3 linked regions of the Drosophila melanogaster genome follow. The protein of the gene in region 2 interacts with the protein of the main gene of each other region in a pairwise test. Each region holds a gene or a part of one and is shown on either strand. Other genes may lie near its edges.

Region 1 (3,219 bases), on a different chromosome or scaffold from region 2:
GGCAAAATTCGTTCATCGTTGTTTAAATTTGTGATAAGATAGGATAGTAAGCCTAACCGTTTATTTTTATTCACGCCGATCTTAATTAGTTGCCGCATTGCTATTTTTCATTTCATAGCGAAAGGTATTAGTTTTCCAGAATGAACGCAGTTGGCATTTTCATAATATGTCTGGGTGAGATTTTTTAAGTTATAGTAAGTAGTGACTTTGTAAAGATGTCCTTTCTAAAAACAGCATGTTCCCTTGGAGCGAATATTCCTCCAAAACCGTGCCAAGTGGAAACAAATTGTGGTACGGTGAATGAGACAAGTTCCATTTGCGGATTGGATGAGGAAATGGGTTGTATACGAAAATTTCCATCCAAGTGTCATTTGGATATAGCATTTTGCCATGAAGGAAAAAGTAAGTCCGATTATTAAACTTTAATCTCGCATATTATTAAATTATTTCATTTCAGATTTCACCGACTTTAATGAGGAATATTGCTCAATGGAATCGTATCTCTGTGAGATTTCACCCACATACGAACGCTGGACCATTTTCTTCGGGCATGAGAATTAATTCTAATTGAAAGTGCGAAAATTTGCTGCATTACGCTTATATAACAGAATTTATCTGTTTTCAAATTAAATTTTTTTCTCATTTCTAGAGTATTTTTACATAATATGAAATTAGTCCCGCATGATTGAAATGTTTTGGTTTAATTTCAACAACCAGAAAAGGGGAAAGAAAACAGCGTATAAATAAGAGAATTTGTGGGTATAAATATCAGTATACATTCTTCAAGACAGAGGAAGCCCTCTCTACGAACTCAGGACGCTCTTCTTTGGCCACCAGAAAGAGTGAGTGAAGACTTGGCTAATCGCCGACGACATACGTGTAAGTTCATTAGGTAGCATTTCAATAAACAATCAATCAACGCGCAACGGGCCATTCACGTGCCAGGCGACGTTGACTACGTCAAAGACCGGTAGGAGGTAACCGATGCCCAGCAGCGTTTTTTCCCACTCAGTGAGACAGAACGACGCCTCGAGCCTTTTATACGAATCTTAATTCGGATTTTTTGTGATCTTTTTTTATATTTGAGTTTTTTTTCTTTGCGTTATTTTTGGGTCTTCGACGGGTGCTTTGCATAATCTCTCGCCGCGGCGCCAATGCCCATTGGCCTCCTCCTTCAACGCCAATCAGTGAAGAGCTCCAGACTGGCACACTTGCACATATAAAAAGTGGACCCAACCGAATTTTGCTTGTCAGTTAATGCCCATCAATCGAATCAATCCCAGCACAGCCATGAGAAGCGCGTCGCTTAAGTTCTATCTGATATGTCTGCTAGTTATCTGCGGTTAGTGTTATTAACTAAAAATGTTATGCATCAAATGCAATTACCTGTGTCCGAATTTTTGCAGTGATCGGTTGGAGTGCTGGAGCACCGAGTCCGCAACTTTCACGTAAGGAACTCGAGGATCGATATCGACAAAAGCCCCCGGTGCCTGATGAGCGAGATGCGGATGCAGAATTGGATAGTGCCTACGATCGGAATACCCGAAGACCTTGAAGTGCAAATCTGAAAGGCTGGAGACACCCAACGCCCACAATTGATTTGTGGTTCTGTGTGGAGTGCCACTTTTTATGTCGTATTCAGGGTTATGGCTATGTAGTTCTAAGCTTAGGCAAAATGTACAAGCGTAAAATAAAGCAATTACTTGGGTGAAACGTGCGCATCGTTACTTTCCATTCTATCACGTAGAATGTGGGGCGACATCCGACGTCGGCTGGCGTCTATAAAATATGAACTCTCTGGCATTCGATTCAGTCAGTTATCAATCTCCGGCTAGTGCGAAAAGTACAATCAAAATGACCTCAGAAAGCAAGATGGTTTTGCTCTTCCTTATCGGATGTCTCGTCATGCAGACAAGTGAGTCACTGGATCATCTGGTATCATGACATTATTTTAAACCTAACTGCATTTTCTTTCAAGTCAACGCCCTGCCATTCGATAGATTCAGCCAGGAGGATGACGAACGGAACAACGAGATCAGCGGCGAATGGTTCAAGAAACCCATCCTCAGGTTCGATCGTCTTTTTGCCACCGAAGAATCACCGTCGGGAAGTCGGAAAGAAGTGAGAAGGCCCAGCAGAAGCGACAAGGGTGAAACCACGGAGAGCTCCAAGCACGCCCACTCCATGATCACCTCCATGCTCGGATTCGTGAGCAGTGTCATCAACTTTGGCAGGACCTTCATAAGGGATCAATAGAAAATATCCTAGTCCATCTGGCACATTTCGAGATTGCATTTTCCACATGTTGTAGGTTTAAATATTGTTGTTTAAATATTGCTTAAATATTGTTGTTCCAAAATAAAAGATTTGGCTTAAAACTATCAAGTATTGGATGTTAAAGAAAGCTTCTCTAAATCCTTTCCAATTTTCAACCAAAATTAAATTCAGCCTAGGTGTTACAATTAGAGGTTTAAAACAGAGTATTTTGAAGACCCATGGTTTAAATACTCACCCGCATATAAATTTCTCTTTAATCCATTCCGTTTTATAAAATTCATCTGTGTAAAGAAGCTAATTTTAATTCTTATTCATAAAATCAGAGCAAATTTACCAAGTAGCACTCAATAAGCTATAACACCGGCGGATTTTTCGGTTGCCCTTTAGGCTAACCATATAAAAACCCGACGGAGATTTTGGTGGATCCCACTATAAATTCTCTTTAATTCGCAGAAACAACCCAGAATTGCCTTTTTTAAAACTTAATCCTTTCCTTCTTTGCTTAATATTAAATTTACTCTTAACATAAATTACTTTTCCCAGCTGAAACTTTTGTTTTTCTTTAAATTTTTCCATGAAGCTTCTTATTTAATAAGATAAACACAAAATTACCATATTTTGTTGATAATTTAACTTAATAGTGGTGCACAATTAATCTTTTGATTACACTTAATATATTTATTTTACAGCCTTACACAGCTGGAAGATTTTCACAATTTTCGAATTTAAAGTATAATTCATTTAAAAAGTAAGCGTTCAAACAATTTTCACCGATATTCACGCGTTTACAACTCGTTTAAAAACTCTCTCTTATACAGATAAAATTAGGACACGATATCTTGTGGAAACGTTTTGACAAGAACTGAAAGAGGTCTCCGTTTCTCAAATTCAAAAAAAAAAAAGATTAACGTTCGAGCGATTAAGTTATAAATTCATACTTTC
Region 2 (3,313 bases):
TCATCGACGACTGCCACAACCACGGCCCCCTCCACGTCCAGCGACACGTCCTCCTCCTCCACGAGCTCCGACAGCGAGGAGGTGGACAGGCTGAGGCGCAGGCTTCGCAGGCTCCGGCGGCTGAGGCGTCAGGAGAGGCGCCAGGAGATTCGCCGGGAGAGGCAGCAGGAAAGGCGCCAGCAGAGTCGTGCTGGAAGAAGGCGCCAACGTAGGGGATAAACCATCGGCTTAACCCGATCGAACAATGAAATGGTCCAAATTGAAAAATAAATGCATACACAAAAGCAACAATCGTAGTTATGACTTGGTAACTTGGCACCTTAAAAACAAGTGAAATCATTTGGATCGAATTGTTAGTCAAACAAAGAAATTCAATATTCGGTTTCATCTTGGAAAAGAAGAAGAAGGCTACACTATATACTCTAATGAAGAATCCTAAGTAAATCATTTTCCGATCTAGTTAGTTGATCAAGTGGAACTGGTCTAAGTGCAGACATAATTCCAGATGATAACTTAATCGATTAGGAACTTGCAAATGAAAGTGAAAAATAGGAGTTTGTTCTAAGTTTTCTTTTAGTGAGAATTCATTCTTTATGTACAATATGCCATCTTAATCTTTATTTAAGCTTAGAGGTTATTTAAATATGGCTTTCTGTTCAAAAGGCTTAACAATACATATTCATCTATTTAATAAACAATGTACCGTGTTTGCACACATGCTAACAATACGTTCAGCCAGCCAATCCAAAAAAAAACCGTTTTGTTTAATTACTAACGAATTAGAACTTTCCACAGCCATCAACAGCTTTCGCGCTTACAGAGAAGATAGTCTCGTCTTTTTATTGAGTTTAATCTATTTGTCTTGACGAGAACGTAAAATGTACTCTAAAACATTCAAAGCAAACACAGATTCGACAATTAAAGCGAATCAAGTGGATCATCCCTATAAATACTCGGATTTAAACCACTATCCACACAGTACTCCATTTAGTGACAAACTGAGCTGAAGATGCGTTGCCAATTCGTTATCGCCTTTGGGCTTTTGGCCCTAATAGCAACTGCCTACGCCGATTCTCCACCTGCGGCAGGATCCCCACCCGCGTCATCTCCACCGGCTGGAACCCCAACCTCGCCACCTCCAGCGACTGGAACACCGCCCTCACCATCCCCAGCGACTGGAACACCACCTTCAGCATCCCCAGCTGCTGGTACACCGACCTCGCCAACTCCAGCGACTGGAACACCGTCCTCGCCAGCTACTCCTGATGCGCCCGCTTCCTCGACATCACCAGCTACGCCCACATCGCCCAGTGACAGTGGATCCAGCAGCAGCCAGGAAGTGATTAGGCTCAGGCGTCGGCTGCGCCGGCTGAGGCGTCAGCTCCGCCGCGAGAGGCGTCAGGCCAACCAGAGTAATCAGAATGGAGGTGGTGGTCAGGGGCGAGTGGTTCGCCGTGTACACCGTCACCGTCGTCTATTGTAAAATTCACGAACATGTTGGCTACGAATTTGAAATAAAATTCCAGACAGAAATGCAATAAATCTAAAAAAAACATAAATGTATTGAATGGCTTTTTAAATTAGAGGAACCATCGCTCTTTTTGTAATGCATACATTAGTAAACTAACTTATATTTGCCCAACAAACTTTCTAAACATTGCAATGAATATTTCGAATAGAAGCGTTCTAAACATTGAAATAAATATTCTGATTAGGAAGTTCGTTGCACATATTTAATTCAAAATGACCGCGAAACGGTGCTGCCAGATGTCTGAATTTCGTGCACTGCGGAGCGGATCTTCTTTCTACTAAGGCAGGAAGGGTCATACTAACACCTCCACTTCTCACCAAAACAAAGGTTACCCCGAAATTTAATCAAAATAAATCGAAATGCCGGTGGATTGGTTCGGATATGTGTACGCAGCCACGGTCGCCGCCGGAGGAATCATGGGATACGCCAAGGCGGGTAAGTGACCAGCCCCCTGACCGTGGTCATGTCCGATTGTGCAACGCCCTGCATTCCAGGTTCCATTCCCTCGCTGGGTGCTGGTCTGGCCTTCGGAGCCCTGCTCGGCTATGGCGCCCACCTCAACTCCCAGGACACGCCTCGTCCCCTGCTCCAGTTGGGCACCTCCCTGTTCCTGGCCGGGCTGATGGGCGCCCGCTGGAACCGATCCGGAAAACTGATGCCCGCCGGAATGGTGTGCATGCTATCCGTGGCCGCCTTGGTCAAGAACCTGGCCACCTATAATCGCTACCTAATGCCCGCCGGCACAAAGGCCCCTTAGGCTAATTTCCGGCCACATGCTGGACTTGCCAGGAGATTGCCCTACCTTCATTCTTCATTCGTATTGAATAGGTTTTCTACTTTTCGGTGATTGGAACTTTGGTAATGCGCTGTGTCACTTTCTAAGATAGTGATTAGGAACTGTACTTGCTGCAAATATATTTTATCACCTATGCTTTTAACTTGTGGACTTCTTTGTACTCAATTGTAATACTTGGTCACATTTAATAGCATACTTTCAGGCACTTTGGTATGACAGTTCGCATAGAAGCACAGAAATACACCATTTCGTACATTCAAATCTTTTTTTGTATATTTATTGTTTAACTTAGCTTTTGTTTCTTTTGTGTGTGTGATAAATTTACAGTTTCATCTATTATACGATGTTCAGTTAACTACAACTAAAACTTAGCTATTACATTTTGTTGCTGCATGAAAAGAGCATTAGGCTAGGTAAACGTAGAGTGATGGATTTTTTTTTTTTTTTAGAATTTAGGCTTCTAACAAGTTTATTACAATAATGAAGTGAATAATTTGAGTTTTCTGCAGGCAAAGTGCGGCAAGGTAAGTATATTATCGATTCTCCACCTTTCTAGCATTTTCCCAACAGGAAACGATAAATATTTGTTAAGTAGAGTGTACAAATTATATATGTTTATCACATTGGAAAGTGGGATTATTATTAAATTTCCTTTCGATTGATTTGTGGCTCAAGAAATAATTTAGGTTGTCTGCCGAAAGTGCGTGCATGTGTAGATGAAGTTTTTACAGAATTATATGTACTATTTTACAAAATTGTTTGCATTTTGCATTAAATTAGATTACATAATATATGCGTGTACTGAACATAACAACATTGCTGGCTGCTGCGTTGCCCTCAGCAAACAGGCAATCATTTAAATTAGAATTAGCTGCGGCTAGAACTAACAACAAATCAATAGGGTTTCGTACAGAGTATAATAGTAATAAATTCTAGCTAAAAACACTTTAAGCTGCAAACACTTCTTCCAATTTCGATGGCAGTGA
Region 3 (4,611 bases), on a different chromosome or scaffold from region 2:
TACCCCAACTGGACGCTCCCAGTCTAGAAGAGTTCCAGACAAAGTGCTTTGAGGCAGGACAACCCACACTCCTGCTCAACACCATCCAGCATTGGCCTGCACTGCACAAATGGCTGGATCTCAATTACCTTCTCCAAGTGGCCGGGAATCGCACGGTGCCCATTGAAATAGGTTCCAACTATGCCAGCGATGAATGGTCCCAGCAGCTGGTGAAGATCCGCGACTTCCTGAGCAGACAATTCGGAAAGGAACCAAGCAAGGCTGGCCAAAATATCGAGTATCTCGCTCAGCACGAGCTCTTCGCCCAGATACCAGCCCTCAAAGAGGATATATCCATTCCCGACTACTGCACCATCAGCAACGAAGATACCCCAGGAGCTGTGGACATCAAAGCCTGGCTGGGACCAGCTGGAACCGTATCTCCCATGCACTACGATCCCAAGCACAACTTGCTGTGCCAGGTATTCGGTTCGAAGAGGATCATCCTAGCTGCTCCTGCAGACACAGACAATCTGTATCCCCACGACAGTGAGTTTTTGGCCAATACAGCGCGAATAGATGCTGCTCAACTGGATCCTGAAACATATCCCTTGGTAGCCAAGGTGAAGTTCTACCAGCTGCTCCTGCAACCTGGTGACTGTTTGTACATGCCACCCAAATGGTGGCACTATGTGAGATCTGAAGCTCCTAGCTTCTCTGTAAGCTTCTGGTGGGAGTAAGCATTTTAATGCAGTTTATTGAACAGCAAATTTATGTAGGATGATCTCTGTTCAAGTTAAGATTAAAGTATGCACTGCAAAACCACGATAGATCACTAAATATGCGAATTTGATTAGCATTTCTGGGTAATTATCAAGGAAACATATTCGATGCCCTTTTCGCACACCGATAATGTAACGCCTCCGATTTCTAAGCTCCAAGTATGCAAACAGGTTGCGACGTCTGACGTCATTGCCGTGTACTATCAGACATGATGTGGACTATCCGCGCCAACAGATGAATCATCGAATCGATCACAACTGGATGGGTACTTTTTGGTTGTTCTTTTAATAGCCACGACGCTTTTTGGGTGTGTTACTGTGGCAAACAAAACTTAACACATACGAATTAAATACAAAACTTCGGACGAAACGAACATTGAGTTGAGGGACCATTATCAATATACCCCATTATCATTATCAAATGGTATATGTAGTTGTATCTATGAGGATTAACAATAAGATGTGTGTGCTTTCTATCGATTTGAAATCGTTATAATCTTTTAAATGTGCCTGCTTTCGCTGCCCCACCGCCATGCTTATAAGTCTTATCGTTATTTAAATGTTGGACTTGGCTCCAGTGAGTTTAATCATCCTTGTTTCCGCCTCCGCCGATGGTTATCTTCTTCTGCAGCTTGCTGTACTCCTCGGTGAGTCGGTCGTACTCGCGGTTGATGCTCTCCGCCTGCGACTTAACCGCCTCCTTGTCCTTCTTTTCGCGATTCAAGTCGGAGGTTAGCTCCTGGACGCGCTCGCGCAGCTTGTTGAGCTGCAAAATTCGGATTTCGTTTGAGTTTCGATTGGATTTTTGTTCGTTTTGGGTGTTTGGGAATGGATATAAGGTGGGTGCTCTAGGTGGGGATACTTAGGACACTCGGGCGGTGAGTCCTTGCACACGTCTCCGCAGTCTTGACAGCTGTTTAAAGAGTTAACAAGAGGTTTAAACTTTCGAGTGGTGGCTTCTGTTTATCGTGGCCCAACATATGTGTTTGGGTGTGGTTTCAAAACGTTTAGCTGCGGTCAAAACAAAAGCACTAAGCCTATGACAAATTCACTCGGTCTTCAAACTGATTTAAGTTTACGTTTAAGATTTTAATCATGATATATACTGGTATTTAAAGTTCTATATCGTTAATAGACTACATTTAAAGCCTTTTCGTATCTTATATTCAAAACCAATTGAGAAAATGTACCAGAAAGTGGAATGAAGTATAGATTTTATAGATTTAGTCGGCTAAAGACATTATCTCGCCATATTTTGACCACACCTTCTATATGCATTGCCATATCTTTACAGCTGGTAGTAGCCAATTGAACTCCAAAGTCTTAGGTGTTAGCTCTCTAGACATGCCATTCCTGGGGATCGGATGCAGGGGTTTGGGACGTGGACTCACCTCGATGAGAGTGGTATCCTCGCCGGCTTCCTTGGCCTTCTCGGTGTTCTTGTTCTCCAGCAAGGAACGTGCGGCTGCAGTGGCGCTCTGTGCCTGCTTGAAGGAAGCCTCGCTCTGGGCCATGAGATTGGCCTGGGTGCAGATCAAGTTTACCAGTCGCCGGATGACCAGGGCAAGGAAAATGGCGAATCCAGAGATGTAGAAGTTCCGCTGGGCACGGAACAGCTTCATGCTGTGCTGCATCTCCACGTTCAAGTGGACCTCGTTAGACTGCTGCAAGCCGGAGTACTTGCGCATCTCGCGAATGGCCTCCAGGAGGAAAATGACCAGAATTCCCATGATCAGCAGGAAATATATGTGCGCCTGTTGTCCCAACATCGATAGGAATTTGGACTTGAAGAACCGGTTCCAGCGGTAAGGAGTGAGCACCGGCAGCACCAGCAGAAGGACCAGTGCGATTTCCGCATAGAGAAATCCGGCGATCAAAGTCCACACCAAACTCATTTTTAATGTTTTATTAATTCCCTTTTTCGTTCGATTTTCGCTTCTTGGATTTTCGCTTTTTTCGACTGCCGCCTGTAAGCAGAAATGCGTCCAAATTAGCTGCTAAGTCTACGGATTCGGGACGGACGGTCTAGTGGCTATTTATAAACTACGGCCGGAGTGACTGGCTGCTTACTTTAAATAGCAATAATTAAATCGCTGCCGTGATGAAATATGCGTATATTTTATGTAGTCACTGCGCCGGCCACGTCAACTCTGTTTTTTTGTGTACGCACGGGGCTGCCAACTCGCGCGCTGGAATCAACTGTAAATTGGGTAGCCAGAAAAAAGCTGAATTCATGGAAAATATTCGAATTTCAAAATCATTTTATTAGTAAGTAAAAAAAATGGCAAGAATTAGTACGTATTTTGCATTAAAATTAACCATTACCTCCAAATATTACAAGACAAATCGATCATAAGGTATTGTATGTAATGCTTTAAAGTGCCTTGGTAACCCGGCTTGCGATGTAAACAAGCTGGCAGCTGGGTTGCCAGGTTTCCATCGCAATGTGCTTCTCAACAAATTTTCAACTTTGCGCCATCGATCAAATTTTCTGCCCCGTTCAGTTGTTATATTCGAATCTCCGGCGGAGACGTGTGCCTAGGTAATCCCATCAATCCCCAGAGATGTCCTACCAGAACTGGCTAAACTACCTGCAGGCGGCGGAGAAGAACTCCATGATAAGTGGCCGCGCCCGCAAGGTGCTCTACAAATTCCCGGACGGCAGGCAAATGGCCGAGGAGTACAACATGGACACGGGAATCGTGCAGCGGCGGGCCTGGAAATCGAAGAGCAACAAGATCATGGGCGAGTCGGAGTGGGAAATCGAGCTGGGCGATGAGCCGCGTCAGTTAAACTGGTCGGGCAACAAGCCACCAGGATCTGGCGAGGAAACGGACTCCCTGGCCGGCGGAGATTTCACCCTGCGGGAGAGCAACACCGCGCCACTGCTGACCAAGCGGATCACCAAGAAGAACATTGAGTGGCGCATCCGCAACATGCCCTACTCCCTGGACACATACAGCGTAACCGCCGATCCCGAGAAGCGTGCCATAGTCGTGCGCACCTCGAACAAGAAGTACTACAAGGTCATCCCGGTCCCGGAACTGGACCGCTGTGGGGTCAAGCCCGCGCAGGAGAGCCTCTCTGTCCACCACCAGTTCAACACGCTGATCATTACCTACCAGAAACCAGATATCCTCTGCGAGATGGAGGCACAGGTGCTGCTTCTGCTCAAGAATGTCGACACCGAAACCGACATGGATGATCTGCTGAAGGGTCTGATGGCCAAATAAACGACTTAGATTGTAATACACAAAGTATTATTATTATTATTATTATTGTGAATTAACCTAATTTAATTTATTTAGAGAATTCCCAAATACACTTCACAAAGGGAACTGCACAAAACGTTGAAATGAAGAACGTGCCTAAAATTAAATCCTAATCACCACTCAGCGGGCACTGCATTACCACGAGATCTTTCAAATTAGTTGAAGTTTTACAAATGGATCTTAACCAGGCCTATTTCTGGAAGCTCTCAGCCATGCCGGCATAGCTGGCCAACGAAGGAGCCGAGGAGCTGGTGAACAGGCTGTAATCGAAGGAGGGCAACTCCAAGGGCGCCAAGGATGGCAGGTCCAGGTCTCCACTGCCCGCCAGCCGCTGATCGCAAGTATCGTGTTCCTGCTCCTCCTGGGCAGAATCGCTCTTCTTCAGCGTCTCCATATGGGGCTCCGAATGGGCCAGTGTGCTAGAGGCCTTTGCCACCAAGGAGGAGGTGAACTTGGCATCGAAGTCCTGCACTGTTTTGTCGATTGCCTTGGCCACCGACTGAGCGGATCCTCCTGCGCCTCCACTTGCTCCGGCTTCTGGTCGCAGGGGCAGCATGGGACTGGTTTCCTTCAAGGGA

What was found. Proteins that work in one complex are often made in the same cells at the same time.
Region 1: the proteins of CG5532 (region 2) and CG13299 interact in a two-hybrid assay, tested with the Drosophila melanogaster proteins (one large-scale study listed by BioGRID).
Region 3: the proteins of CG5532 (region 2) and CG13887 interact in a two-hybrid assay, tested with the Drosophila melanogaster proteins (one large-scale study listed by BioGRID).

The regions. Positions count from the first base shown.
Region 1 is NT_037436.4:6,230,960-6,234,178, reverse strand, and holds CG13299 (uncharacterized protein), read left to right. Parts: upstream 1-1,817; 5' UTR 1,818-1,854; coding exon 1,855-1,915; intron 1,916-1,978; coding exon 1,979-2,256; 3' UTR 2,257-2,374; downstream 2,375-3,219. Other genes in the region: CG42714 (uncharacterized protein), read left to right, coding at 141-174, 235-402, 458-561; BG642312, read left to right, coding at 1,258-1,342, 1,407-1,555.
Region 2 is NT_033778.4:23,750,940-23,754,252, forward strand, and holds CG5532 (uncharacterized protein), read left to right. Parts: upstream 1-1,814; 5' UTR 1,815-1,890; coding exon 1,891-1,966; intron 1,967-2,025; coding exon 2,026-2,288; 3' UTR 2,289-2,576; downstream 2,577-3,313. Other genes in the region: CG12491 (uncharacterized protein), read left to right, coding at 1-219; CG11300 (uncharacterized protein), read left to right, coding at 1,010-1,483.
Region 3 is NT_037436.4:836,166-840,776, reverse strand, and holds CG13887 (uncharacterized protein), read right to left. Parts: upstream 2,917-4,611; 5' UTR 2,657-2,916; coding exon 2,153-2,656; intron 1,675-2,152; coding exon of another isoform or gene 1,624-1,674; exon of another isoform or gene 1,528-1,623; coding exon 1,345-1,527; 3' UTR 846-1,344; downstream 1-845. Other genes in the region: JMJD5 (jumonji domain containing 5), read left to right, coding at 1-719; CG13901 (uncharacterized protein), read left to right, coding at 3,326-3,994; CG42554 (uncharacterized protein), read right to left, coding at 4,224-4,611.